Linked DNA regions of Saccharomyces cerevisiae S288C. The protein of the gene in region 3 purifies or fractionates together with the protein of the main gene of each other region. This does not show direct contact. Each region holds a gene or a part of one and is shown on either strand. Other genes may lie near its edges.

Region 1 (10,226 bases), on a different chromosome or scaffold from region 3:
TCTGCCCTGTAATCCGAATTGTCCCTATACAGCCCATGTTCCTGTAATTTACTGTCAAAAACTTTCTTTAAATAGGGTGCCGTAATCCCGCATCGTTTATCCCTCGTAGTATGTGAACATATAAATACAAATGCACGTTCACGTGCAACGGCAACATTTGGTCGTGTTTCTAGCAATTTCTCTCTTGAAATATTCTCGTCTAATAAGTCAGGAACTAAACCATCCAGCGTTGCTTCGACGTCATCTGATCTAAGGTCGTTCAGCCAAATGAAGTAAGGCAAAATAAGTACATTATTCTTGGTTCCCCGCATAACATCAATATCCATGATATCTTTAGGTAAAGATGAAACTGCACAGTTTAGTGTCTTGCCTGTGCCCACGTTGGAAAATTTAGCTGAATTCTTATCACACCACTGGGAAATTTTATACTGTACTGACTTTGGGTCCTCGAGGCAGGCATCATGCTGCCAATCGATTTGAGAGGTGGGGACAACGAAGTGAATTTTTGGCGTTTTAGAAGAGTTCAACAAAGGAGTTTCATGTTCGATCTTTAGTTTCGCAAAGGCCTGCTCTCCTTCTTCAATTTCTGTTTTGCAATCACCAGAGCAGCTATGTTCGTTAGCAGCATCGTCACTTTTGCATATCTTAATCGATTGAGAAATTTCCTCCCGTCCCTTTGCGCTCAGTTGTGAAGCTTCATCACCACGTTTTTGCTTGAAAATATTCAAAAAAGCCATAATTCAAAGGACAAAGAAGATATCTCTCTCTTGGCCGCCTTCTTGCCTCCTCCGAATATAGCCAAGTACTTTCTTTTCTTATACCTCGAACAGAAAGAAAACCAGTATGTTATACTACTATTCGGTTAGAATTTCAACTTTGCGTTATCATCATATGATCTCAACAATATAAATAGAAGATATCATCAGCGCCAAGAGTGGAACTCTCCCTCTCCTTGCACTTGTTTTAAGAAACTTTTAGCCCTTATTTCCATCTTTATTTCCGCTTTTATTTCCGCAGCACCGGTGAACCCTCTTTTTTATACCTTCAGAATTTTCTTTGCACCTAAAAAGTTCAAATTGCCCTTTAAAAAATATTTATAATACCCTAAAGGGTCCACATTTTCATTTTGACCCTACTCCGCCAGAAAATGTTGATTTATCATGCCTATTTTCAGCCACTGCCCAAAGTCTACTTAAAATAGAGTAAACTTTATATTACGACTACTCTTTTTTAAGTTAACAATGATTACAAGCCCAGCAGGAGTTGTGTGAATGAATATGGATTCTGGTATTACAAGTAGTCATGGAAGCATGGATAAGACACAAAAGCAAAGTTCTGAGTGGGCAGCTAACCAGAAACATAATCAAAGAGTCGAAAATACAAGAGTTTTAATGGGCCCCGCTGTCCCTGCGATGCCTCCAGTACCATCAAATTTTCCGCCTGTTCCAACTGGTACAATAATGTCGCCTCAGTTGAGCCCTTTTCCGGATCACCGTTTAAGACATCACCCATTAGCTCATATGATGCCTGCTGATAAGAATTTTCTGGCATATAACATGGAGTCTTTCAAAAGTAGAGTGACTAAAGCATGTGATTATTGTCGGAAGAGGAAGATTAGATGTACGGAAATCGAGCCGATTTCTGGTAAATGTAGAAACTGTATCAAGTATAATAAAGATTGCACGTTTCATTTCCATGAAGAACTGAAAAGAAGGCGAGAAGAAGCTTTGAATAACAAGGGAAATGGGAAGTCGGTTAAGAAGCCGAGGTTGGATAAGGAGAATAAGTTCAAGGATGAAAATTTTGATATCGCCGTGCGATCAAGAAATACTTCTTCTACAGACAGCTCGCCGAAATTACACACCAACTTATCACAAGAATATATTGGAGTTTCTGCCGGCAAAAGTGCAAGCGATAAAGAAGATACTTGGCCTGACTTTGTTCCTATTGACAGGACAGTGCTTGAAAAAATTGAACTCAACCATACGAAGGTTGCTGGGAAAGTTTTTGTTTTGGAAGAGATTTGTAAAAACATGAAGGGAACAATAGAGAAGCTAGCTGAAAAAAGCAAAATTGACGTCATTGATAAAGAATACATGAAAAGGCCTAAAAGAAAGCAATATTCAAAGGCCTTGTTAACAAAACAAAAAATGTTTCATTTTCGACAAAATGTTTTATCACATTTAACTGACGAAGAATTTCTTTCGCCCATTAATGAAATGTTTACTACTACTTTCAAATATTCTATTTTACAGACCAAGCTGGTCCTGGACTTCTCTTTCCGATCCGCATCATCACCATCTAGTGATAATATTTTGTATCCTCTGCCCCGTTTAGCAATTGCAAAGCGTTTGCTCAAAAATATAAAATGTCCATCATTAGCCTCTCTTCTCCACATAGTGGATGTAGATCAATGTTTGCAATTTGCCGACGTGCACTTTGATCCTGCTAAAGGAAGATTGACATCATCACAGGCATTTTTGCTAAATATCTGCCTCTGCCTTGGGGCCACCGTTACAAATTTTGAGGAGAAGCAGGAGCTAGTTGATGAAGATAATCATGAAACCTATTATTTTGAGAAGTTCGAATTATGGAGACTCAGATCTTTCACTTTTCTCAATTCTGTCTATTACTACCATAAACTGTCTGTAGCACGCGCAGATATGACGGCATTAAAGGCATTACTGTTACTGGCAAAGTTTGCCCAACAAAAAATAAGTGCTTCATCAGCGGTCAAAGTACTATCCGTTGCTATCAAAGTGGCTTTGGATTTACGGCTCAATTTACATTCCACCTATGAGGATCTAGAACTTGATGAAATCATTAAAAGAAGACGCTTGTGGTGTTATTGTTTTTCAACAGACAAATTCTTTTCTGTGGTGTTGTCAAGACCGCCCTTTCTCAAGGAGGAAAACACTGATGTATTAACAGATGAAAGCTATGTTGAACTATTCAGAGATAAAATTCTGCCCAATCTTTCTATAAAATACGATGATTCAAAACTAGAAGGGGTGAAAGATATTGTATCCGTTGTAAACTTACTCGCGAATCACCTTGAATATGTACCATACATTCAATCATATTTTTTGTCGAGATTATCCCTCATAGAGTCTCAAATATATTACTCATGTTTTTCCATCAGAACAACTTTAGACGATACACTAGATGAAATCATTGAAAATGTACTGGAAAATCAAAAGGCGTTAGATAGAATGCGAGACGATTTGCCCACCATATTATCATTAGAAAATTACAAGGAAAACATGAGGATTTTATCTTTGGATTCTTCGAAGTTAGATTTTGAAGTGAGTTGTTGTACTACTATTCTATTACACCTCAGATGGTACCATCAAAAGATAACCCTGAGTTTATTTGTCATATCCATCATTGGAGATAACTTAGATCAACGGGAAAGTTCCCGGCATGATATAGCTGAAATTATTAGAAGGTCAAGATTGGATTTCAAGCGAAATTGCATCGAAGTACTTAATATTTTGAAAGATTTTGAATACTACCCTACTGTTCAGAATGAGTTTCTGTATTTTTCTCTCACAACGGTTTTTTCCATGTTTCTGTATTTGTCAGAGATTATGGTTAATGACGAACATGCCATGGAGACTGGTTATATAATTGGATTATTGAGGGATACACATACCCGTATGCTTGGATCTGAAGAACGCTGTCTTTCAGTACACAATCTGAAGTGGCAAACATCTCTTTTTTTTTACACTTTTTTTCTACGGAGTACGATGGAAAAGTTCAATCTGACAAGTAAATACGCAAAATTCTATGCCTTTGATTCAAATTATTATGAGGGTGTTCTCAATAGGTTAGTTAAGCATACGAGAGAATCAAAAGATGATATGGTCGAGCTCTTGAAAACTTCGTTCATAAATAAAGAGAAGATGGCTGCATTTGGTAGTTTCGTTACAGAGGACCAAGAAAAAATGGAAGTGTCCTTCAATATTTTCAATGAAATAACAATCCAGGATTTGAACTTCTTGCAATTTTCAAGCATTCCGAAATTGTGGGAAAATAAAACTCTTGAGCCAGGCGAGGAATATCATCATAGTAATGGTACCAATACTGATAATAACGAGACTACTGGCGCTGATGATACTGACGATAATAATAATAATAATAATAATAATAATAAAAATGGCAATAATAGTAGTAGTACTATTAATAATAATAACAATAACTACAGTAACAGTAACAATAATGACAATGACAACAATATTAATGATGATGATGATGATGATGATGATGATGATGATGATGATGATGATGATGATGATGATGATGACAATGATGATGATTATAGTAATAATGGTGCTGATGATGATGAAGAAGACGATGACTATGACAGATCTTTATTTCCAACAGGTTTAGCTTCGCTGCTTGATGCGTCATATCCTGAACGTACGGCGAATGATTATAGAGATGAGAATGAACAATCGAATAAATTATTCGAAAAGATTGAAGGCCATTTGGAGCACGGTGTTTTTTTTTACGATCGGGATTTCTTCTTCAAGAATGTGTGTGTAAAAATGTAATATTATATAAAGGACATTCGAGTAATTTAACTAATACATATGCATACGCGCGCGTATGTATTTCAGATACTTAAAAACTTCAAATCACGTATGAAAAACATATTGTTTACTTGAGGCGATTACACAATATCTTGTTTTTGACAAGATTAAGAAGCGAACTAAATAAAGTGAAAATAAAGTCGTTGTCTTAATACTTTAAATTGTCCAAGTTTGGTCCGTTACCAGTAAACTCTGGAAGGATGGCTGCAAATGGCTCATCGATGAATCTCACTGGGTATTTTTCACCGAAGTCGTTCAACTCTTGTAATTCATCCTTTGTCAAAGATGCGAATTCAATACTCGAGGAAATCCTAACTGGATTCAAGGATCTCGGAATTACGATAGTGCCTTGTCTAATATGGTAAGAAATTAGCAAGTCATTTCCTGTGACATTGTACTTTTCGGCAAGCTTTTTCACTAGTGGGATTTTCAAGTTTGGTGCGCCATGGGAACCTAATGGTGAGTATGCTGTTAACAGAATGTCGTGCATAAAGCAGAACTTTCTTAGTTCCATTTGTGGTAAGTGAGGGTGAGTTTCCACTTGGTTCACCGTTGGCTTAACTCTGCATTCCTTAATGAGACGTTCCAAATACTCAATGGAAAAATTTGAGACACCAATGGCTCTCACACGATGATCGTTAGGATCAAGGTAAATTTTTTCCAATTGCTTGTAAGTTTCTAAATAGTCACCGTCGGCAGCATACATTGTTTTTCCAGAATCATCAACCGGAGTCTTCACCAGTCCGCTGATCCCCTTAGGGTCCTTAATCTTTTCAAAACATAGCGGCCAATGTTGCAAGAGCAAGTCGACGTATTCCAAGCCTAAAGCTTTCAAAGATTCATTCAATGATCTGTCCACTTCGTCCCATAGAACCGGCCACACTTTTGTGGTTATGAAAAGATCCTCCCTTTTGATAGATCCATCTTCTAATAACTCCTTGATGGCTTCACCTACGAATGGCTCTGTCTCGTAGGCCCAAGCAGTATCAATGTGCCTGTATCCAGCTTTGATTGCAGCTTTTACGGCTTGTTTTGTTTCAGCTAACTTTTCGTGAGGATTTGCTGTCCCCAAACCCAGTGCTGGGATACGAACACCATTGTTGAGTGAAAAGTATATTTCTGTAGTCTTTGGATGCAACATATTTTCGACTATGTTTTCGGTTGAGGCTACTGAAGAAGACATGATAGCAGTTGATTAAAATCAAGACGCTTTTATCAATTGAAGGCGGAGATAGTGCAAATAAGTCCAGATGCTTGATATCCCCCTCTTTCCTTTTTACCCCTGTATTACGAGGCTCACTTTATATATTATAATTTTTCCAGGCGGAGGTAAGGGTAGAGCGGCTTTTGGTGGATTTATAATCGGCAATAAACGAGTTTTTAAGCGATCTATAATATTTTTATTGAGTGATAGTTAGATACTTAATGATTATATACTAGTAGCATTTTCAGTAAACGAAATTGTTAAGATGTTAAGGTGGAGGCGCCATTCTTGCTGTCTTTTATCAACTTTGTACTCTCTTTTTTCTTCAAATGTTGCATCAGTGTTTTGATATAGTTATCCTTATCTTGTAGCATCATTCTTAACCCACCTATTGTTTCCTTCTGGAAATTGGCAGATCTCTCGTAGAACCTGAAGTTCATTGTCAGTTGGTCGATTAAGGAGAAGTTGATGTTTGCGAACAGAGGGCCCAATTGCCTCTTGAAGCTGTTTTCTTGTAAACGAAATGAGGAGTCTTCGAAACAATTTTTCATGTTTAGCGCACTACAGCAGGTTTCAATCTTTATAATATTATCGTCGTTTTCCTTCAAATCATTGCCATAAACATTGTGGAATTGCAAAACCTCGCTGAGGCTTTTCAGTAATGTCAAAAACTGGTCGATAGTATATCTATTCAAGTCTAATCTAACGCTGTCAGCCCTTACCTGTTTTTTTTTTTTTTCAAGAGATTTTTCTAAGCCAAATATTCTCTTTTCCAAGTGTTTTAATCTATTTTCATTGTTTCTCGTTTCTCTTGGAAGATATTTCGAGGGTTTGAATGTGGATTGCTGTAATTTTTTTGAAGTTTCGTTGACGTTCAGTTCTAAAATGCCAGGACCCATATTGGATTTGGTAATCTCCTCATTTTCGTTTTCATCCGTAGATATGTACTCATTTGTTTTATTATTCGTACTTTTTTTTTTCAATTTGTTCATTTCCAATATAAGATCATTGTTTTTTTTACTAATGGATTCAAGGTTGTCTTTCAATGAGTTAATTTCCTGCTTATGTTGGAGATTTTCTTGCTTTAATGTTGACAAGTTCAAATTCTCCAATTTTAACTTTTCCAACTCATCTTGCTTCTCTTGTGCGTGCATTCTACCCTTTGAAATGTGGTTAGTAATACTTTCTATAACGTGGTCGCTCAATTGGTCGAGCTCTTCCTCCCAAGATACGTTTTGTTTCCCCCCTGAAGTCAAATCAATATCAATGTTCATAGTAGCCAATTTTTTGTTCAGATAGTCAATCACATGTCTCCCACCTTTGTGAAAATCATTTTCTACTGTTATATTAGGCTGAGATGTAAATGTGTTTGGTGTCTGAAACACAAATTTGTAAGGACCTTCAAGAACATTCTCCGGTGGAGTAGCAGGAGAAAATTCATCGTCACTGTCGTCGCTATACTCTTCAAAACTTTTTTCATATTCCTTTTTCAGACCTTTATTCTTAGCGCCTTTAGTCAAGCATTGATCCTTGGAAGGTATTTTCTCGGGACTTTTTGATTGCATAACATGTGAGTTAGCATCAGTGAAATGAGACTCATTCTCATCATCAGAAGAAAGTTCAACGGGCAATAGTAAGTTATTTTCATTCCTGAATTCTTTCACGTCATTTGCACTCTTGAAAATACTGTTTCTGATTTTTTTTGTGAAACTTCCTTTTTGGATGTCATGGGAATTTTCCTTTTTTGCACACTTATTGCTAGTTTTCTTCCAAACTAACGCATCATCTTCATCTTCCAACACAGACTCGTCCTTATTTGAGTTTGTTTGTTTGAAAAAAGATCTAACTTTTCTTCCTAGTTTTCTTTCTTCAACAGATTTTTGTGAGTTTTTGTCATTTAAGTAGACATCATTGACGTCATCTTCAACTCTATCTTCGCAACTATTTTTTAGGTCTGCTGTCGGTTTTAAAAACCAGTTTCTTAATGTACTATTTTTCTGTAAAATACCAGTATCGGAGGTTAATGCATTGTTGGAAAATCTGCCGCGTTTGGCCTCGCTACCCTCTACTGTATCGGCTAAGCTGGACATGATGTTATGTTCGTACGTATCCTTATATATGTTAATACACCGGTGCAATAACTTCTCTTAAAATCCTTCAACCTAGTTTTAGCTTTTTTTTGTTTTTGTTGGTGTGATTAAGTTAAAAAAATTATTAGATGACTACAGTGAATAGTTGAATTTGTCCCCTTCCTGTCACTTTTTTTCCTCTATGGATAGAGACCCCACCCAGGAAATGGCATTACTCGTTTTTGTGTTATTTTTTGTGTATTTTTTCAGACGCGTGTCAGCAAAGGGCATCGCCAAAATAACGACTGAGCCGTGATGGCGCTAGTAATTTTGTTTCCTCCATAAAATGAAAATACTAGTTCTGGGCTATAGCCGATGCGCATATGAGTAAGTTTGAGTTTTAAGTGGAAAGATTAATAGAAGCCAACTAGTTAATTATCTATTAGTATTTTCTCGTATTTAGGTTTGGCGTAAAGGAAAAATTGAATAAAAACTGTGAAGTCCATCAACAGCGTACCAGCGCTACCGATAAGCCAAGATGCTGAGAGCACTGAGATTATGAAAGAAGTGTTCCCTAAGCATGCAAATAAAAAGAATAGGAATGAGACTCCTTCGCATGATTTTCTTTTGAAGTTAAGAACAATCTGAGGGATCCTAGAGCCCAAGTACAGTATCGCACTTAAATACCCTAAAATTTGTGCAGGTAAATTAATCTGTTCGAACGCAGGTTTTTTTTTAGGAATACCGTTATCTAGGCCGGAACAGTAAGATATATACCATGACAAAATTCCGGCAATAAGTACACCTGAAACAATTAAGAAGTCATTGAAAAAATTCTCTCTTTCCTTTACGACTATTGTTCTGCCAAGCTCAAGCGAGCTATACGATTGGCTATCTTCTTCTTCTATCCTTGGCAAAAGTGGCTCATATTCATTAAAAACGTCTTGTAAGACAGTCTCATTTATGGGGTTTGCTGGAGGCAAATGCACAGGATCAACATTTTTCTTGACTTCTTGTAAAATGCTCTTCTTCTCCTTGTCATACCACATGCACTGTATTAACAAAATTAAATCTGCCAATGTATAGTAAGCAGCTAAAATTATCATGGTTGGGAGTAAATTTTGCATCATAGCTCCCATGACGTTAAATATATCACCTAATAGCCACAACACAATGAAAAGCAGTGATAATCCCTCCGCAGACTGTCTTCGGAAGTTTTCATAAATCTGTGGTACAAACACAACAATCCAACAGCATATTGATATGGATCCAGCCATCCCACTGAGATTCTTAGCATTCAAAATAATTGGGATCAGCTTCATGGCAGAAATTTAGGGATGCTCGCTTGAGGCTATTACGTCTGGGTTATAACAAAATATTGTGGGATATTACAGGAGAATAGTTTATTTATATGCCTGAACCCGGTGTTATTTGTAGTATTTATGGTTTATATTATGACTCTTTTTACATGTAACGGTCATAGTAAAATCTATTCTGATTTGCATCTTATCATCTCCTTCTTTTTTCCAATGGAATTTGAGTCATTGCTGCAAGGCCCCTTTGCTTTGCGGGTGAGAGGAAAAAAAAGATGAAGTATTATGTGCAGTAAGTAGAAGAAAATACTAACTGAGCAATATTCGAATACATATAACTTTATTTACAGGAATAACGAACGAGAGTTGTGCTTCTAATGCTGGGCGGCGTTGTATGCAAAATATATAACGTTTCTTCTGGCATGTGTCAAAAAACTCAGAGCACGCACGCTTCCGTTCGAAATTGAGGTAACAAGATGCACTAAGACTATCTCTTGACCCATGTTGGCATCTTTCTTGCCTTCTTTTTTCCTGGCTTCTTTCTTTCGACGTGCCTGTAATCTCTTGTTAAGACGCCAGCTTTATGTAGTCTGGATTTTAATAATGGATTGAACACAACCAAAGCTTTCGCAATGGCGTGCATGATTGATTCAGCCTGACCCGTAGGTCCGCCTCCAGACGTTGTCGCAAAAATATTGTACTTTCCAACTGATTCGATCACTTGAAGTGGATACATGATTGATTCTCTGTCTTTCATCTTAAGGAAGTAATCATTCAATTGTCGACCATTAACTAATATCTCACCTGTACCTCTAACAACGAATACTTTCGCAGTGGAACTTTTCCTTTTTCCAACGGCTATACTTCTTCCAAACTCATCTAAAGTTTTGATTTTGATATTATTGGAAAGCATTGAACTTTTTTTATAATATTGGGATAGTTCGGATGTGATTTCATCATTAGTAAGTTGAGGATCAATGTTGTGAAGTTTATTCAACATATACAGTAGCTGAGTATATTGCGTAGGCTTTAATTTCGTACCACC
Region 2 (9,865 bases), on a different chromosome or scaffold from region 3:
GAGGTGAATTATCAACTGATGAAAGATCTCTCTTCTTCCGATGATAATTTCGTAATGTTGGCGCTGAATTTTGTTGGTGTAGTAGGAGAACTTACGAACCGTCTAGCGTACAACGATGATATCACAACAGGAGTATTCAAGATATTAAGATCACCGACCTCCTCCATTTATCTCAAGAAAAAATCAGCATTGTCATTTCTAGCACTATTGAAAAGTAATCATTCTATACTGACCGAAGATTTACAACGTAAGCAACTATGGATACAAAGGATATTAAGCTTATTGGATGATACGGAAAACTATAGGTTAACTTTAGCTACGATTCCGTTAATAGAATTCATTGCAAAATACATTGATCCCAGTTACTGTACGAGACTATTACCACAGCTAACAGAAATTTTGTACAATTGTGTTGTTGTTGGTACTTCAAGATCTAGTGACAATCAGTTTCCGTTAGAATATACGTTCGCGAATATGCCAAATCCTTGGCTTATCACAAAAGTTGTCTCTTTGTTGAGCATATTGATTGCCTCACCAACTGAGAGGGATTCTGGCTCATTACTACAAACCAACAACATAGATAATGAATTACTAAATAAACTTCGAAAGTGTGTTTCCGTTGCCATCGAATTAGGAACCAGACAAGCTCAAGATCCCATGGAACGTATCGTCCAAAACACAGTATTGTTTTCATTGATCAATTTCGCCTCTAAGCTAGATCCGTCGGATGAAGCTATCAGCAATTCTGTGACAGCCTTATGTTCCCTGCTAACATCTAAGGAAATTAATATTCGGTATTTAACGCTAGATTCATTGGTCAAATTATGCTCATCAAGCGGGAAACCTGCAATTGATGCCGTTCGTTACAAGAATTTGGATATGATTTTTCATCTTTTGAACACAGAAAGAGATTCATCTATTGTTAGGAAGGTTGTTGACTTGTTATATACCTTTACTGATGTTGAAAACGTTAAGATTATTGTGGACGGTTTACTGCAGTATATTTTATCTCCGAAAAATCTTGCTGAACCGCAAATAAAATCTGATATTGCAGTTAAAATAGCTATTTTGACCGAGAAATATGCCACGGATATCAATTGGTTTGTAATTATTTCGTTGCAGTTGCTATCATTAACTTCAAATACAACTATTAACGATGATGAGATCTGGCAACGACTATGTCAAATTGTAGTGAACAATCCATCTTTACATAGAATAACATGTGAACGGTTGGTGGACTATTTATGTAAAAAGCAAGCATCTGAAGCTATTATTAAAGCTGCGGCTTTTCTACTAGGGGAGTACTCAAGTCTCATAACAGACAGGATTTCAAGCGCAAATTTATTTACTTTGTTTGCCGAGAAATATTTTAGTGCACCAAATGTGGCTAAGGCGATGATATTGACTACGATGATCAAGTTGTACAAGACCTCACCTGAGATCGGCTCCAACGTCATCAAATTTTTCCAATTGGAATTGAACTCTCTTGATATTGAGTTGCAAACAAGATCCTTCGAATATCTCAACATTATTCAACTGGCTAAGGTGAACGGAAATACAGATATTTTGCAAATTTTATTTGAACCAATGCCGCCTTTTAACAGCAAATCTAATCCATTATTGAAGAGATTAGGGTCACTGCCGGCATCAGCGGGTAGCACAACTTTAATAAATACACCATCCGAAGCATCCTCCTCCACGCCTGACTTACTATCAAAAAGAGCAAACTCTTCCAGGTCGATCATGGTTCCCATGCCCCCACCATCTCGTAGGAACACCATTGATGATGTAAATTCCAAAATTAGTTCATCTGAAGACTTTTCAGGAAAGGACTCTTATTATTCAAGGCAGATCCTCGCTCCAAATTGGAGGGAAGGTTTCACAAGAATGATTTCGCATAAGCAGGGTGTGCTTTTCACATCATCTTTGATGAAAGTTTTCTATCGGATAACCACTCCTGATGCACAACAGCCATACGTGTTTCATATATCTCTTGCCTTCATTAACCTGACTGAGTGGGAAATCACGGGATTATCCACACAGATTATCCCTTCAAAAACGCAAGGTAATCCTGAGTATTTAATTATGAATATTAATACACCTTCTACTGCTACTATTGGGCCCCATAAAAGGGCAGAGCAAAGCTATGAAGTTTCAATAAGAAAACCTTTCGACGTTGAAGATAGTCCAATTTTGGCAATTCATTTCAAATGTGGCGGTAGTACAAACACTATCAATTTGAAAACTGCCATAGGCATGACTACAACACTAATTAGCAGCGATGTCAATCCTAGCATGCATTTGAATTTGGCACAGTTCATCAGCCGTTGGAAGACTTTGAGCGATGCTTTGGGAAAAGAGGGAGAATACCAAAAATCTGGCATAAAGCTCAACAAGGATTTTAGAAAAGTTGAAACAATCAGTTTAGAAGACGGACTTCTACTATTGACGCAAACAGTGAAGAGGTTGGGCTTTGATATAGTCGATCAGACCAGTGTTCGTAGTACATTGTTTGTCTCGGGTATTATTCATACGAAAAGTGAGGGAAACTTCGGTTGTTTAATGAAGATACAATACCAGGTAAATGGAACAGTTAATGTTACCTGTAAAACAACGACGGCCGGTCCCCTGGCGAAGTACATTGTCGAATGTATAAAGAATGTGCTTACGAAGTAAAATTTTCTCAAATTCACTATAATGAAAATCATCCGCATTGTACATATATAAACACACACACACATATATATATATATTTGAGATTCTATTTATTTTCATTTTGTGTTGTAATGCTATAAAAAAAAAGATCTTCGTATAAAATCTCAGTTCATTCAACCTACTAAATGATTCTAGCTTCATTTTTTGGAGGTCTAGCACCAAAAATGTCGGTACCAATTCTGACTTCCGCTGTTCCTTGCCTTATAGCCTCCCTGAAATCAGCACTCATCCCCATAGACAATTTCAATGATGTACCAAATTTAGCATCAATCTTCTTCTTCCACTCAACCAGCGTAGCAAAGTCTCTGTTTTCTTTGCTATCTTCATGAGAGACGTTCCATGAACCAATAGTCATTAACCCATTCAACTTAATATACTTGCATTCTTCGGATAAGAAGAAGTCGATGACTTCAAATATTTCTGCTTCATTATTCAAGCCCGATTTTTGATCCTCATGGGAGGTATTAATTTGAACATTACACAATATTGGGTTGCAATCTGGTTGAAATTTAGCCCTCGATTCGTTTAATTTTTTGGCTTTCTTCAAGGAGTCGATTGTTTCAACAGAGTATAAATTTGGCACTTTAGCCAAATCTTTACATTTATTCGTTTGCAAACCGCCAATAAAGTGCCACTTGATATCGTCTGGTAGTAATTTTGCCTTTTCGATCAACTCTTGAACATAGTTTTCCCCGAACTCCCTCACACCATGGTCGTAAAGAATTTGTATATCGCTAGCTGGTTTCAATTTCGAAACAACCAATAATAAAATTTTGGAGGCATTTTCATTAACATGAACATTTTTTGCCTCTGCATTCACAACTTCCCTTACAGATTCGTATTGGGCAATTAATTGTGTCTTTCTATCTTCATCATAAGTAATACCAGTGGACATATTGCAATGTGATGCTGGAATCTTAGTCAAAAAGGAAAGAGTGATGCCTATCAGTTTTTTTTTTTATTATGCATTTAAGAGTAGTCTCTACTTATGAACATTTTCTCTGGCCTCTGATCACGTTACTTTATTACCCGGATACTGATCATGTTATGGTCTTTAATCAATAAGTAAGTTATAGAGCCAGTTTCAAGGTCGATAGTTCAGGTGTATAACAATACTTTTTGGTGCTACCTTGAGCTATTCCATTAGTTAAGTTTGAATTAAATATATCAACTAGCAATCAAGTCAACTCTAGCGCGCTTCCACACGTTGTGTAGATAAACTGGCTCTTCACCTTCAACAAGCGTCAATTTCCCGTCTTCAAGATCAGGGCATTGGACAGTAATTTGTGCATAGGATCCCCTGTTACCTGTTGCTCTAATAAATCTTCCGGGATTTATAACAACTACGTTTTGGACAACTCTTGCAAAGTGTTGTAATTCACTGGGTATAATCATTATGTCAGGCGAGAACCCACCAACAAACTCTGTTAGTCCCAGATAACTCACGTCTAAATCTGCACCAGATATATGTTCATAAACTTTTTCTTCTTTGCTTTCCATATCATTGGTTTCCTTCTTCGTAGATACGTCTTTTGGTTTTATTCTTGTACGAATACTACCTGGAAATATGGGGTAATACCTGCGCTGTTGTAAAATATGCTCAGAAACACGATCTAATCTATATCTTGATGAGGTAGTACCGCCTTTTATGACTTCCTTTAGATCTTTGAATGTATCAACGTTTGAGCAACCGAAGTATATCTCATTTATTTGAAAAGATGAAGGATTAGCCATGCATTTGAAGTTCCTTTTAGGCAGCTGTAAAGCCTTTCTAATTAAAGAAGCTTGTGGATATGCGGCGTGATTAGAAATTGCATCTTTTGTGGAGGGTATCAATACGGTTTGGATATGTGGTGATATGGTTTTTAGAATAGGAGTAAATAACTTCAAAAAAAGCTCGTCCAATGTTTTGGGCTGTGTCTTGAACTGGGGAAAATTTGGCAATTTACCACTCGCTATCAGAGGATGGGTGATATCTATAAATGGGCCAAACATTATCAAGACGTGAGGTTTTACCTCATTATTTATACTATCGATAAATTCTTGCAACAATTCGAGGGAGAAGTTATCATTTGCAAAGTATGGGCCACAGGTCACGATAACCTTCAAAGAAGAACCTTCCAAATTTGCTTGAAACTCCTGCAGTTCCTGCGATGTGGACACTGGGGAGTTTGGATAAGGTAGCGGCAAAATAGAGTTAACGGTGAAGTAATCCCCATTAGCATTTTTACCTTTGAATGCCACAATTTGGCCTAAGAAAAACGAAAGCTCGTTGACCTGCGATAGATCTAACCTTACCCTTCTTCCAACGCCGCCCATTCTTGAGGTCTCTAGGGAAAGCGATTCTGGATTCAAAAACTTGTCGTAGGTCGGCGAATCTGGAACTATCCTTCCAACAGCATAAATTTCGGACTGAGATTGAATAGTTGGATCAGCGAAGTCGTTTGGAGATAACTTATAGTGATTTTGAATAATCTTAGTAAACGATTCAATTTGATCATCGAGGACATCAGACGCTTCCTGTAAGTTTTGCCTCATTGTTCTGAATTTATACTTTTTAGCATCATAAAATGGTTCTACTTTGACCTGGTTATATGATGGTTCTTCAGTCGAAAGAAGGCCTACATTTGGATTACCAGATGATATTTCAATATTTTCAGGGTTCAAAGAATCCAAAATTTCACCAGCAGGAACATTTTGCCTCGATGTGGTAGGAGTGTTTGTTGTTGGAGTTTGGAATGTCGACGAGCCGGGAGTCTTGGCATCCGAGCTTTTAGCGTGGGACAATGGAGCACTGTCACCCACAGCATCTTCTGCCATGCCTGGAGTAAACTCCAATTTTAAAGAACTATTTCCTTTTTCATTTGTTTCTGCCTCAGAGCCTACATTATATGTTTGCTTGGAATCACTGAGTGAAAAGGGACCATGTAACTTTCTTTTTTTTAAAGTCGGAGTCTTTGGAATACTAAGGCCAAACAAGGGACTTGAATTCAAACTTTTTTTAATCACTGGTTTTTTTGTGGATGTGTTTACCTTAGAGGACGATGAAATTTGGTTAGCACGCTTTTCCATTTGTAATTGTAAAAATTGTTTAAACTCATCTATGTTCTTGGAAGTCAGATCTGTGTGAGTTTGACGCCTTTGATTGGAGAACTGCTCCCATTTAATGTATAGATCCTCGACGGACAATGCATGCAGTTTAGTTAAATTCTCTAATGCAGTGATGATTTCCGGCTTGTCTGCATCAGGCCCAAAATGAGTGATGACATCGATAGATCCGCTCATTTTTTTTTTTTTCAGTCACTTGCTCCTGCCTAAATTTACCTTCAAGCTTTGTTGAACCAATTGACAATCAATTATCTTGATATTTTTATATGCAAATATATTATGTATATGAAACAAAATGTTATATGTGTCTACAAAGAGCTCATATTATTACAGTTTTAGAAAAGAGAAAGAACTAAGAAACTCTGGTGAGACGCGTCACGGTAAAAAAAAATTACGCGTCTACCACGCTATTCTCTATTCGTTTGAGGCGATGAACATGATCATTTTAAAGACATTCTTAGGCAAACAATCGAATAATCGTTCGGTTTCTTGCTCAGTATAATCTGGAGTAGTTTGGAGGACTCTCAAACAACGAGCTAATACCACGGCACTGGTGAAGTTCCACGAAGTATTATCAGTCCCCATAATGAAATAGCTCATTGTTTGGATAATCTCTGATATATTAGATTTCTTGAATTGTTGGCAAATGGTAGGAGATTGCAGCATCTTCCATAAGGTCTCAATTAAAAATGTTTCTTTCACACCAGCGGTGTCAGGCTGAATTTCAGTAACCAACATGCTTAGAATTCTTGTTGCCGAATGTTTTTTGAAAAAGTGCGATAACATTAGACTGTCCCTGAACTCTTGCGCTAATTTATAGATTTCGTTTCCATAATCAGAAAATTTATTAAGCATTAAAAGGATCTGTTCCCATACTTCTTCGAAACACATTCTCACCGAAACGCCATCATCGTCGGCATTCTCGCTTAGTGTATTTAGAAACTTTTTCCAAACCAAAAGACAATGAACGAGAATTATGGACTTACTGGATATTTTTGATGGAATTGAAGGCGTGTCATCAGTAGATTTCAAAAGCATAATAGCAACATCCAGTAGTTCATCAAAACCATTTTCATTCGTCAACCAATCGGTCATTTTTTGATTTTGAAAACAAGTAATCAAGGGTTCGATCAGGTAATTTATATGTTTCATAGTGAACGATCCACTTTTTATCCTGTTTATTGCCTTTGACATGTGATTGAAATAGACATCAAAATCCATCAAAGTGTTGCCATTAGAATCAACCATTAAAAGATGACTAATTTCATATACAGTCAAGGAATCCCTTGGGAAATTATCCATGATAAGCAAATGCATCTTCTCTGATTTTTTGTTATTAACTAGTTTCATCTTTTTGGAGTTTATGTCTTGTTCAGTTAGTGCTACGTCTCTTTCTCTCTTTACTGTGATCCTTTGCTTTTGACCCATATTCTCGTCCCCGTTTATTTTGATTGGTGACATTGTTTCCAAATCAGGCTTTTCATTCTCATTCCCATTTCCAATAAGTTTTTCTGGCTCATTTATTATCTTTGGAGGATCTGTACTGAATTTTACTGTTGGTTCATTATCGTCCTTCAATTTCCTTTCGGTATTTTCACCACTGTTTTGAAAAATTTCACTTAAATTCAAATCAGATTTTTGAGAATTTTCCATATCTATATCATCTTCCTCCTTTGCTGGGTTTGGCTGGTCCAGTTGATAAACACTTACTATTTTCGTCATTTCTGAAAGCTTTTTATCTTTGTCATTATCATCATGAATAACTACGCTGTCTGTGCTTGATGTTCTTTTTCCAACGTTATTCTTCAACTCTAGTGTTTTATCAGTTTCCAAGTTTTTGAAGGGATTAATCATTGTCATTTCCATGCATTTCTTAACATCATTTTCGTCTACAGCATCGTCGGATTCCTCATCCCCTTCAGATTTTTTATTGTCGATGGGAGTGAAGCTTACAGAACTTTCTCTAGAAATGATGTCTTCTACCTTAAAGTTGGCATCCTTCTTTTCAAGTTCATGACAGATTTTCATCTTGGTAGATACAATGTCAAAATCAGCTAGCAATTTATTAAAACGATTATTATCGAATTTATAAATTTCAAAAATTAGATTGAAATAACATGTGTAGTCAAACTCTTTACCGTAGATTTGAAAGAGTATCATTGATATTTTAGGCATGAGATCGTTCGTTCCTGACCTCAGAGTGTTATCATGTTTTATGTTCAAGTTACGGAAAATCTCTAAAAGTAACTTGAAATTATAATTGAAAAAAGTGGTTTTGTATTTCATATAGTATAGTTTGAAATCATTCGGACAATTATTGGCATTCAAGAAATTGAATAAATCCGCGATAGTTATAATCAAGTTAGTAAGCTCGTAGGGCTTTTCAGGATTCATTCTATTCTTTAAGATTTCCGCGTAATCAAAACTATTAATAGAATATAGCTCAATGAGGTAATTTAAGGGAACTCCATTTGTAAACTTCTCTATACTCAAAAATGGCTTGAAATCATTTGGTGACTTTATCATAATTTGGCGTAGCTTTTTCATAATCATGGGAAATTCAAATTTTGGGGCTGATGATGACTGTTGCGATGTCAACAGTAACTCCTTTTGTAAATACTGTAAAGCATCTTTGATCTGAGCTGGAAACGAAGCATCATTGAATTTTTTGTAAAGGGTTTCATATTCACCAAGTTTATTACTGCCTTTTAATGAGATTGGAGAAGATGACATCGAAACATCATTTTTATCCATATATTTCTTTATCAACGGGTTAGAGTAACTATTTGATAACTCATCAGTCAAGTCGATTTGGTTTGACGGAAAGTCATCAAAATTTGTGTAATTTTCAGATACTTTTGTGGCGGCAGTAGAAGAAGGAGGGGCACTAACTTTTCTTTTAGTAACATTATTATTATCTTTGGTGTTGCTGTTTGAAACAGAGTTCATACTGTCATGATGCCTTGCCCTTTTTTCATTTTCTTTACTTGAATATTCACTAGTAGACCTTAAGTTTGTTTTCAGCTTATTTGATAGTTTACTGGCTATGACACTTCCACCAGCTGTGACTGCAGGAGCGTTGAGTAGGGAGGTGGAGGAAGATTGAGTCGGTTGGGCATAACTTGGATAGTTCCTTTTCTGCTCCAGTAAACTGGTTTTTCTTGAAGAATTATTCGAAGAGTGAGAGTACAATCGAGACGTTGCAGAGGAGGCGGAGGCAGTAGAGGACACCCTGGAAACTTGATAGTTTATATTCAAATGAGCAGGGATTGCCAATTCTGTTGCTTTTTTCAACTGTGGAGAAAAGGAAGAACTCAATAATCTTTTGGCATTTGTAGGATAACATTTGTAGAAATACCAAAAAGTTAACCTCATTGCCTCTCTAACGGTTGTCTGTGAATCTGAAATGCCCTTTTTTAGCCATTCTTCGATGTATATGATGTTATTCTCCAACTTTGAGGTTGGCGAAGTTGTATTTGAATTGTTGAGCGAAAGATTGGAGTCGTTGAACTTAATCAGGAAGCTACGCAGCAGTATTGCAGAGCAAAATCTCGGTGTTACGGTTTTCTCATTTATTAATAAAAAAGATAATTGGAATAGTTTATTATGGAAATGATTTATATCAATGATCAAAGTAATTAAACAATGAAATGCAGTTTGTGAAGAGATTTTCTTGGTAGATGATAACAAGTTCTTGAAAATGACAAATATTTGGTCCAATATTGATAGGGGCAACTGATCGTTTAGGATATGGATTAGCCTCTTGAGGAAAAGTAATGCAGTTAATGATAACGTTGTCCTCAACGACGAGGTAGCTCTTGAAATCAACTCAATCAACTGCACCTCCTTTATTACAGTGACAAATTCCTCTGGATTATCTTTGGGAATGTTGCCGGATATAATGTTGTCTAATTCAATTATATTTGATTGCCTTAGCTTCCAATTTTGTTCTGTTTCCTTTACACTTTGGAACGGTGCCAACAAATTCTCCAAGTCTTGTTGTAATTGGTTCAAAGACTCATAGTTTTTTTTCATCGCTGGG
Region 3 (11,288 bases):
TGCACTGGTTTTAGGAATCAAAAATTTTTTATTCAATTCTTAATGTACACAACATTATACGCGTTCTTAGTCCTAATTTATACTTGCTATGAGCTTGGGACGTGGTTTAACTCCGGTAGTTTCAACCGTGAATTGATAGATTTTCATCTATTAGGGGTGGCCCTATTGGCGGTTGCTGTTTTCATTTCTGTTTTAGCATTTACCTGTTTCAGCATTTATCAGGTTTGTAAAAACCAAACTACTATCGAGGTACACGGAATGAGAAGGTATCGAAGGGATCTTGAAATCCTCAATGACAGCTATGGAACAAATGAGCATTTAGAGAATATATTTGACTTGGGTTCTTCAATGGCCAACTGGCAAGATATAATGGGTACATCTTGGTTAGAGTGGATACTTCCTATTGAGACCTTCAAGTACAAAAAGTCTAAACACACAAAGGATGAAAAAGGTTTATATTTTAATGTAAGACCTCAAGTACAAGACCGACTGCTAAGTAGTAGATGTTTAGAAGATCAATTACTGAGAAGAGTAACACCAAGACCCTCATTAGAAGCCGATAGGGCGTCTGTAGAAATTATCGATGCAAATTAGTCATAAAACTAGAACGAATGAATGTTACGATAATACGAAAATTATCCAAGATGATAAAAATTTATCATTACAATTACAAACATTATATAAAAAAATTATTTATGCATTATACCAAAAGAACTCTTAGTTTTTATTTATAACTTTCTATTTGATAAAATAGTTCTTACAGCAGAAATGAGATTAACCCTAGCAACAAACTGCCAATACGGATGGTTAATTGACCAGCGGCGCCCGAGTATGTAGAAATTGAAGGAGGCTTAATAGTAGATGAGGAATACCAGGTAATTATTGTAGATAGAGATGTGCTGGAACTTGTTGGCAATGAAATAGTAGTACCTGCATCTAAAGTTGCAGAATGAGGGGAAGAAAGGGCGGTACATGTGACACAAACCTCAGTTGCTGTTGCTTTTTGGAATGTGCTAGTTTTCAATGTATCTATGGCAACTAAATTTGTGTGCTCGGCGTATTGGGCAGAATCTACTGTGGTACTGTAGCCAGCCACTACGCTTTCCTCGGTTGAAAGAGAAGTTTTGGAACCCTTAATGGTAGATACCGGGACTAAACTTGTATGTTGTGCATATTGGGCGGCACCCACTGTAGTACTGTAGCCAGCCACTACGCTTTCCTCGGTTGAAAGAGAAGTTTTGGAACCCTTGATGGTAGATACTGGGACTAAACTTGTATGTTGTGCATATTGGGCGGCACCCACTGTGGTACTGTAACCCACCACTACACTTTCGCCAGTAAATGTATATATAACTGAACCATCTAGTGTGGAAATTGGAATCAGACTACCATATTCTGTAGCTTGCCCAGACTCAGTACATGTAGTTAAAGTAAAATAGCCGCTTTCATCGGTACTCATAATGACTGTTGGTGTTTCCAGCGTAGAAATTGGAAGCATACTTCCATATTCAGTAACTTGAGCCGACTGTGTAGATGAAATTACACTATACGCATCACCTTTATCCGTTGCAGTAGCTTCGGTCAATTTGGTGGAGGACACCATACTAAAGGTACTGTTTCTACTTGTACCTGTAACGACTGTAGGCTTCAGGGTGGAAATTGGAAGTAAGCTGTCGTACTCCGTAACCTGGGCTGATTCTGTGGATGAAATTACACTATAGGTATCACTTTTATCTGTACCGGTAACTACGGATTGATTGAGCCCAGTGGTGAAAGCCAAACTCGAACTACCGTCTCTACTGGTGCTTGTAGTAGCAGTAGTTACCTTGGTGTCAATTGTGGACGATAATAGTGAGCTGCTATGATATGAGGGTTGAAGCGAACCAGAATGGGTTGCATGAGTGAAAGTAGCATTTCTGGCATTAGCAGCTGCTGTCGCAGCGTTAGTGTTGATTGTTGACACCGAAAGTGAACTGTTGTTTACGATAGATTGCGCTATTTCAGTTGAAGAGGCCACCTTATTACTACCAGTTTTATCGGTACCAGAAGTGGTGGTACTAGTAGTAATAGTCGAGATTGGTATCAAACTCCCTATTTCAGTAAGTTGTGCAGACTCTGTAGTAGTGGTTAGAATATAAGACCCAGAGGCAACCGTTGTGTTTGAAACAAATGGGCCGGATGATAAACTGGACGTAGTAGAACTAACTGAAGAAGTATTAGTGATACTAGAAGAAATACTTGTTCCTGTTATGTTAATCGCGAACGGAGCAATGGTGGCTAATTGAGTTGCGGATGATGTTGTGGAGTTGGAGACATATGGCGGATTAGTAGATTGACTTGCAGATGAAGCTCCTGAAACAGTAGTGTTTGCCAGGTATGGAGAGCTAATTACAGATTCAAGAACAGATGAGGATGAGAGTGTAGTGGAGTTACTAACATATGAAGGAGTAGTAGTATGTTGGGTAGCTGATGATACTGATATTGTGACGTTACTGGTGTATGATAGAGTGCTTGACAATTTTTCAGCAGATGAAACTGCTATAGTAGAAGTAGATTGGGTAACAGCGGTAGTTGTAGAATTATCAATGTAGGAAGCCTGTGTGACAGATATACTAGCTGAACTGATAATACTATATGTTTCAGTAGCAGACAGAGAAGATGAAGGAGTAGTAAAGGTTGAGTTTGAAGAACTTGGAGCCGATAAAGAAATACTTGAAGAAGAAGCTTGTTCACTGCTAGAAGAAACCGTAGAGACAGCGGACATGGAAGCGTCCGCCGAGGTGCTAGCACCGTCAACTGTAGAAGAAAGGATCCCGCTACTCAATGATGCAGTAACCGCAACTTCAGGGATAGCGGATGATTGCGAAGTATAAGAAGAAAGCGTTGAATTTGAGTATGTTGGTGTTATAGCAGCATCAGAGCTAGTTGTGTCATCACTGGTGGTGGAATCAATGTTAGCAGCTGACTCAGAATATAATTCTGAGGCTAGGGTGGTTGAAGTATCTCTCTTTCCTAAAAGTCTGACAGATGTACCTTCATCGGGATATGTTAATTCGACAGTATTTGATATGGACGAGGTAGATAGCTTCTTTGTGAAATAAGTCACACGGAAGTATAGCCCACCGCTGATTGTAGAATTAAATAAACATCTAATTTCATCTTCTGTGGAGTAGTCATGAACAGTTGTATATGGGATAGCATTAATAGGTTCGTTAAAAGAATCAACGGCAGTGACAACCTCAAACTTAGTTAACGAAGTATCGAATACGTAATCTGAGGAGGAAGATGTCTGAGAAGTCAAATAAACGGGATTTCTGAACGTTCTCATTGGTAAGTCAACGGTAAACCAGGCGGTATTATTAGTTTTGTATATACCACCATCTGTTGTTATAGCAGAAGTATTTTTAGCGACGTAATCAATAACGTCATTAAACATAGTATTTTCTGAATAGAAACTGTAAACGATGCTTTTTGGTTCTGTAACTTTGGATTTAGCATCTGATGTAAGCTGTGCAAGGAAGTTAAATGTAGTAGTTATATCTTCTGAACTCTTTTCTGGAATAGAAATGGTGAAATTGTTCGTCGATTTATCTGGGCGTGATATCGTGGCAACACTGTTAGAATTATGTTTTATGCTGAAGGGTTCTTGAGGGAATGAGCTGAAAGCATCTGGTACTTGGAATGTTATATTTTGCTGACTTCCCTTTGGAATAGACAGTTGCCCTTCTATTATGAACCAATGATCTGGATCCGTACATTCTTTTGTTTTGGTATAACTATCTGTTATTTGAATATCTTTTAAAATCGGTTGCGTTTGTGTGAGAGCGTTTGCTAGGCCGAGTATCGAAATGACTCGTACTAGATGTAACAATAGTTTATTCATTGTAGTGTTTTATATTATGCTTGTTTATGTTGATTCTACTGAAAGAAAACCATCAGAAAGTTTGAGTCTAAGGACACAAGTTTTAGGTCGGCAAGAATGTATTCTGCTTTTATATTTGTACTGTTATGGACGAATAAAAAAAAAACAAGCCACATTAAAAAGGAAGTACTAAATCGTATTCTTAGCATCAAACCAGCATCTTACTCATAAAAGCTTGAGTACCTTTTCGGAAGTGTCAGCCGAAAGTGTCAGTAAATTAGTCCCTTGTCAGCCTGCTGTTTTTCCTCACGGCGCGGAGCCAGCGCGTCCGAATTAGGAAAATAATAGAGCCAGCAAGAACCATTTCACTAAAGAGGTTACTAAAGAGGTTACTAAAGGAACCAGCAGAGGCTATATTAGTTGTGAATGGTACCATTCTATGCATAAATTTATTGGGATATGATCCTCCATGGTGGGACTTCGTTTAATATCAAATCCTTAGCACTGTTTTTTTTTGCTTTTTCTTTTTTGTGTTTCTTTTTCTTTGGCAGGGAAACGACATATCCAACATCCCATACACTATTGATCTTCGTTATGGCATTACTGCCACGCTCAACGTCATTTTTCGTCTTGTAGCTTATTCTCTGATTATTGTTATTGCAAGAGGTAAACGCTCATTGTGAATAACAATTTCGGAAACGGAGATACAATCTAGAAAAAAATAACAACAAACGAATTCGTTGCTAGGATCCACTCAATACACAGTATAGCCACAAAGAATAGGATATTCCAGCATGGTTTTGCCTATAATAATTGGTTTGGGCGTGACAATGGTTGCTCTAAGTGTCAAGTCTGGTCTCAATGCATGGACCGTCTACAAGACCCTGTCCCCTTTAACTATTGCAAAACTAAATAACATTCGCATAGAAAACCCGACGGCGGGCTACCGCGATGCACTTAAGTTCAAAAGCTCACTGATAGACGAAGAACTGAAAAATAGATTAAACCAGTACCAGGGAGGCTTTGCACCGCGAATGACAGAGCCCGAAGCCTTGCTCATCTTGGATATCTCCGCCAGAGAGATTAATCACTTGGATGAAAAATTACTGAAAAAAAAGCACAGGAAGGCTATGGTTCGTAACCACCCAGACAGAGGAGGGAGTCCCTACATGGCGGCCAAGATAAATGAGGCGAAAGAAGTTCTCGAAAGAAGTGTTTTACTAAGAAAGAGATAAAAGAACTTTATATATCATGTAGCCAATTGCTACACTTCCTTACACCACATAGTATACGGCGATAATCGTCAACACTTCCGGGAAAGTGCGGCCATCGGAGACTTTCAAACAAGTCATTAGAATTAGAACAAAGAACAGTAGTGGAGAGCATATATGTGTTTGCATACCCTCCAAAAGAAAGCGATTATAGTAACATTAATATGAAGGCATCGCTTACGTTTAGTCTCTCCGGAATATACGCCCCCTGTAGCATTTCTAGGGATATATATCTCGAATACGGCGATAAAAAAGCTGAATGTTTATATGGGACAATTAGATTGCCTCAGTACGGTCCAGGTTGCACGCCTGGTAAAATTGTACATTGTGTCCTGGATGATTCACTGCCCTTCTGTAGCATTGTTGTACCTTCCAAACTTTTTGGGTTTATGCCGACACAGCCCACTATGGATTTTTGCTATTTTGAACCCATATTAGACAATGTAGTACCTGTACTGGATAGCGTAACGTTTCTGATTAATGAACAATTGTACTCAAAACTAATGGACCTACCGCAAGAGATGCAACAAATACAATTTTTGCATTACAAATATAACATCAACTCCATGGAAACCGTGGTTCATTCTCGAGATATTTTAACATCTGGTCTTTGCCAAATTTTAAACTGCTCACCTTTCCCGCAGGGCCTTGTTGATTTTACAGAAACCCAATTGATATTAGTAAATGATACTGAGCAGAAACTAAGTGCTCTAAAATATGCTAACGAAGATGAAGAATATGCATTACCTAAAATAGGGACAAATTCTGCTTTATCAATTGATCTTGAATCTCTCCCCTGCACAATTTCAAGAGATCTTTTGCGACCTGCACCTCACATCAATGATGATAATTCAATATATGCCTTTACAGACGCTGAAACTCTACTGCGCCTGGATGTCACAAGTGGATCGTTTATAACAGTGTCAAATATGGGTTGCGTCAGGCTAGTTAAGCTGTTTGTTTTACTACTCCCCAACGGCTTTAAAAAAAGAACAATATACGCACCTCCCAAAATAATAGCAAGCTTTCCAGACTGCAGCGTCGTGACAATATCAAAGTCCAATATAGGCCATACAGATATTCCCATTGCTAATCAAGTTTTCATCTCAAGAGTTGGAGGCTGGCTTCAATCTCAGAAATGCTTTCAAAATATTATTCTAACAACCTTGAAAAAGTTTTTTAGCGAGAGCAAAAGGATTCTTTGTCAAAATGATTTAATCCCAATCGCTTTTGATTCAAGTATGGCTGATCTCAATATAGCAGAGGAAAATGATGAGTCTGATGACGAAGATGAGCTAGGGCAGTACTACAAGAACGATTCCCTTGTATGGTTCTTTGTCACAAGCGCAGAGCTCGATTGCTTCTCTAAAGATAATTCTCATTTTATTATTGATCCCAATCGGACGAAGCTAATAACAACTAATATCACTAACAGAAGACCATTACCCTTGAGTAGATCCAATCTTCAGAGATATTACGGTTTTGCTGAAACTTTTTACTATGATTTGCATATCTTCCCCTATGTAAGACAATTGGTTAACATATTAGAAACTTCCTTCAATTGTTCTCAAAGGGGAATCACCCTAAATGCCTCTGTGTTACTTCATTCCACTACAAACAATGTGGGCAAGGCTACAATGGTGAGATTTGCTTCAAAATATCTTGGTATACATCTACTGGAGATAGATTGCCTTTCGCTCACTTCAAATTCAAGACAACTGGATTCAACATCTAAGATTATTGGTTACATTAGGGCTAAATGTGAAAATGTCCTACCGTACGCATCACCTGCTGTGATTTTTTTGGCTCATTTGGATTCAATTTTGCTTGACGTAAACGCTAATCAAGATCCAGAGGCAATCAAATTACAAAAATCTATAAACTTCGAAATGTCTAAACTTCTGGACGATTTTACGTTTAAATTCCCAGGAACTACATTTGTTGGCTCCGTAAATAACATAGATAACGTGCCTTCCAGCTTTAGATCACATATGAGATTTGAGATTCTCGTACCCGTTCCGTCTGAAGCACAGAGACTGCGTATCTTTCAGTGGTACTTATCTTCACATGAACTAAACAGAGATGTTCAACAAAAGGTTCCAGTATCTTACATGGATAATATTTCATTTTCATCACTCTCTTCATATTCTGCTGGTTTAACTCCTTTAGACATCAAATCAATTGTGGAAACGGCACGAATGACGGCTACTGCGCGTTTTTACCAAGAATCAAAGAAGTGTGGATGGCTTCCGCAATCAATTTTGATCACTCAGGAGGATTTATCAAAAGCTACTTCGAAAGCTAGGAACGAATTCTCGGTTTCGATTGGTGCCCCACAAATCCCTAACGTAACTTGGGATGATATAGGTGGTATTGATTTTGTTAAAGGTGAAATATTGGACACAATAGACATGCCGCTAAAACATCCTGAATTATTTACCTCAGGTATGAAAAAGAGAAGCGGTATTCTTTTTTATGGTCCACCGGGTACAGGTAAAACTCTAATGGCTAAGGCCATTGCAACAAATTTTTCTTTAAATTTTTTTAGTGTTAAAGGCCCTGAACTGTTGAATATGTACATTGGTGAGAGTGAAGCTAATGTGCGCAGAGTGTTTCAAAAGGCGAGAGAGGCTAAACCTTGTGTCATATTTTTCGATGAAATCGATTCAGTAGCACCCAAACGTGGTAATCAAGGTGATTCGGGTGGTGTTATGGATCGTATCGTTTCACAGTTACTAGCAGAGTTAGATGGTATGAGTACCGACGCTGACGGTGTATTTGTTATCGGAGCAACAAACAGACCAGACTTATTGGACGAAGCACTACTAAGACCAGGACGATTCGATAAATTGTTATATTTAGGCATTCCGGATACGGATACCAAACAATTGAATATTTTAGAGGCTCTGACTCGCAAATTCGTGCTCGACAACGACGTAAAGCTTATTGAGTTGGCAAAGCTATGTCCATTTAATTACACCGGGGCAGATTTTTATGCTCTCTGCTCAGATGCAATGCTTAACGCCATGTCAAGAATTGCACGCATGGTAGAAAAAAAAGTTTCTCAGCATAACGAATTGACGGGAGAGAATATTTCTACACGTCGCTGGTTTGATAAGATTGCGACAAAAGAGGATACTAAGGTTGTCGTAAAAATGGAAGACTTCTTGAAAGCACAAGAGCAGCTCACCCCAAGTGTGTCGCGGGCTGAACTGAATCATTATGAAGCGGTGAGAGCTAATTTTGAAGGTGCTTAAGTAATATCAACTCAGAGCGTATAGGTAAATTTGTAAATATATGTCCCATATTTTGCCTTGAAATTTATCTTTTTATTTACTTACCCTCCCCGGCTCATAGTATCTATCGAAAGGGAAAAACAGAAAAGATACTAGTAGTTGATTATACATAATAAAAATTTGAAGTAATAACCATAAAGGTTCATAAAACAATTGCGCCATACAAAACATTCGTGGCTACAACTCGATATCCGTGCAGATGGTATATGAAGCAACACCTTTTGATCCGATCACGGTCAAGCCAAGCGATAAAAGACGCGTTGCATATTTTTACGATGCAGACGTTGGGAACTATGCATATGGAGCAGGTCACCCGATGAAGCCGCATAGAATAAGAATGGCACATTCCCTTATTATGAATTATGGCTTGTACAAGAAGATGGAAATTTACAGAGCTAAGCCGGCAACGAAACAAGAAATGTGTCAGTTCCATACTGATGAATACATTGATTTTTTATCGAGGGTTACTCCAGATAATTTAGAAATGTTTAAAAGAGAAAGTGTCAAGTTTAATGTCGGAGATGATTGTCCTGTCTTTGATGGGCTCTATGAGTACTGTAGCATATCTGGTGGTGGCTCTATGGAAGGAGCTGCTCGTCTGAATAGAGGCAAATGTGATGTTGCTGTCAACTATGCGGGTGGTTTGCATCATGCAAAAAAATCGGAAGCTTCTGGGTTTTGTTATTTAAATGACATAGTACTGGGCATTATTGAGCTACTACGATACCACCCCAGAGTTCTGTATATTGATATTGATGTGCACCATGGTGATGGTGTAGAGGAAGCGTTTTATACAACGGATCGTGTCATGACATGTTCTTTCCACAAATATGGTGAGTTTTTCCCTGGCACAGGTGAACTGAGAGATATAGGGGTGGGTGCAGGAAAAAACTACGCGGTCAATGTGCCATTAAGAGACGGTATTGACGATGCTACGTATAGATCTGTGTTTGAACCTGTGATAAAAAAAATTATGGAATGGTATCAACCTTCTGCTGTCGTGTTACAGTGTGGTGGGGACTCCTTGTCCGGCGATCGTCTTGGTTGCTTTAATCTTTCCATGGAAGGCCATGCTAATTGTGTAAACTATGTGAAATCCTTTGGGATCCCAATGATGGTTGTTGGTGGAGGAGGCTATACTATGAGAAATGTTGCAAGGACATGGTGCTTTGAAACAGGTCTACTAAATAACGTTGTCTTGGATAAAGATTTACCGTACAATGAATATTACGAATATTACGGTCCAGATTATAAGTTAAGTGTTAGACCTTCGAATATGTTCAATGTAAATACTCCCGAATATCTTGACAAGGTAATGACCAATATATTTGCTAATTTGGAAAACACAAAGTATGCCCCTAGTGTTCAGTTGAATCACACACCTAGGGATGCCGAAGATTTGGGTGATGTTGAAGAAGATTCTGCCGAGGCTAAAGATACGAAGGGTGGTTCGCAATATGCGAGGGACCTACATGTTGAGCATGACAATGAATTCTATTGAAAAAAAGAGTTGGAAGTATATACGAATATAAATAATGTGAAACAAAAGAAGAAAAGTGAATAAAAGGCACTTAAGACGCTATCCAATTGTGTATGAGAAGTGCAAACTCAATTTTTTTGCAAAAGACTTTTCTCAAACCTTTAATTGATGCGTTCCGTTCATACATCAACCGCGTCCCATACGTTTCGAAGAAAATTGCCTATATGTGTTATTTACATACTAGAGATATTTTAATATTGAAACAGTTGTATTTCTATTGTAATTACTATCTAAACGTCTCGTCCCACCGCTGTTGATAAAGCGGTGCCAATATAATTTATAATCACGCCTGGGTAAATGACTTTTAATTTCTTAAATCATCGAAGTATGCGAAAACAAGAAGTCTTTATTCATAATAAAAAACAAATTCGGTTACTACGACTTTTATATGTCATTCAATATTTGGTAATAATTTTACAGTATTAACCCTATCCTCATCTGATTCACTCTCTTCTAATTGCATATATTTTCAAATTCGCTTTCAGCGCTGTACAAAACCAGTAAGCAGATCTCGTACGAAGACTCAAATAAGTTGCATTGTTCGTATTCAAGGAAACCGGGGGGCAAAATTTCCAACCATATTTAAGTATGACAATATTTCCAAGTCAAGGATGCATGCTGTTCTTCTCTTCATTAACTAGCTAACCAATTAGCTGAACGGCTTTGTATTTTACTTAACATATTGTCTATTGCATAAAAAACCACTATTCAGCATGACTGACTTGTTTAAACCTCTACCTGAACCACCTACCGAATTGGGACGTCTCAGGGTTCTTTCTAAAACTGCCGGCATAAGGGTTTCACCGCTAATTCTGGGAGGAGCTTCAATCGGCGACGCATGGTCAGGCTTTATGGGCTCTATGAATAAGGAACAGGCCTTTGAACTTCTTGATGCTTTTTATGAAGCTGGAGGTAATTGTATTGATACTGCAAACAGTTACCAAAATGAAGAGTCAGAGATTTGGATAGGTGAATGGATGGCATCAAGAAAACTGCGTGACCAGATTGTAATTGCCACCAAGTTTACCGGAGATTATAAGAAGTATGAAGTAGGTGGTGGTAAAAGTGCCAACTACTGTGGTAATCACAAGCGTAGTTTACATGTGAGTGTGAGGGATTCTCTCCGCAAATTGCAAACTGATTGGATTGATATACTTTACATTCACTGGTGGGATTATATGAGTTCAATCGAAGAAGTTATGGATAGTTTGCATATTTTAGTTCAGCAGGGCAAGGTCCTATATTTAGGAGTATCTGATACACCTGCTTGGGTTGTTTCTGCGGCAAATTACTACGCTACATCTCATGGTAAAACTCCT

The links.
Region 1: the proteins of EGT2 (region 3) and ARA1 purify together in Saccharomyces cerevisiae (affinity purification with mass spectrometry, with the first as the bait; one large-scale study listed by BioGRID). This does not show direct contact.
Region 2: the proteins of EGT2 (region 3) and YBL036C purify together in Saccharomyces cerevisiae (affinity purification with mass spectrometry, with the first as the bait; one large-scale study listed by BioGRID). This does not show direct contact.

The regions. Positions count from the first base shown.
Region 1 is NC_001134.8:535,539-545,764, reverse strand, and holds ARA1 (D-arabinose 1-dehydrogenase (NAD(P)(+)) ARA1), read right to left. Parts: upstream 5,779-10,226; coding exon 4,744-5,778; downstream 1-4,743. Other genes in the region: APD1 (Apd1p), read right to left, coding at 1-737; TBS1 (Tbs1p), read left to right, coding at 1,272-4,556; YSW1 (Ysw1p), read right to left, coding at 6,060-7,889; RTC2 (cationic amino acid transporter), read right to left, coding at 8,300-9,190; mitochondrial 37S ribosomal protein uS9m MRPS9, read right to left, coding at 9,669-10,226. UniProt on the Saccharomyces cerevisiae protein: Catalyzes the oxidation of D-arabinose, L-xylose, L-fucose and L-galactose in the presence of NADP(+).
Region 2 is NC_001134.8:147,611-157,475, forward strand, and holds YBL036C (pyridoxal phosphate homeostasis protein), read right to left. Parts: upstream 3,611-9,865; coding exon 2,837-3,610; downstream 1-2,836. Other genes in the region: APL3 (Apl3p), read left to right, coding at 1-2,676; DNA-directed DNA polymerase alpha subunit POL12, read right to left, coding at 3,883-6,000; STU1 (Stu1p), read right to left, coding at 6,238-9,865. UniProt on the Saccharomyces cerevisiae protein: Pyridoxal 5'-phosphate (PLP)-binding protein, which may be involved in intracellular homeostatic regulation of pyridoxal 5'-phosphate (PLP), the active form of vitamin B6.
Region 3 is NC_001146.8:16,643-27,930, reverse strand, and holds EGT2 (Egt2p), read right to left. Parts: upstream 3,884-11,288; coding exon 758-3,883; downstream 1-757. Other genes in the region: palmitoyltransferase PFA3, read left to right, coding at 1-594; MDJ2 (Mdj2p), read left to right, coding at 4,657-5,097; PEX6 (AAA family ATPase peroxin 6), read left to right, coding at 5,298-8,390; histone deacetylase RPD3, read left to right, coding at 8,629-9,930; AAD14 (putative aryl-alcohol dehydrogenase), read left to right, coding at 10,683-11,288. UniProt on the Saccharomyces cerevisiae protein: Seems to be involved in the correct timing of cell separation after cytokinesis, as separation of mutant daughter cells is delayed.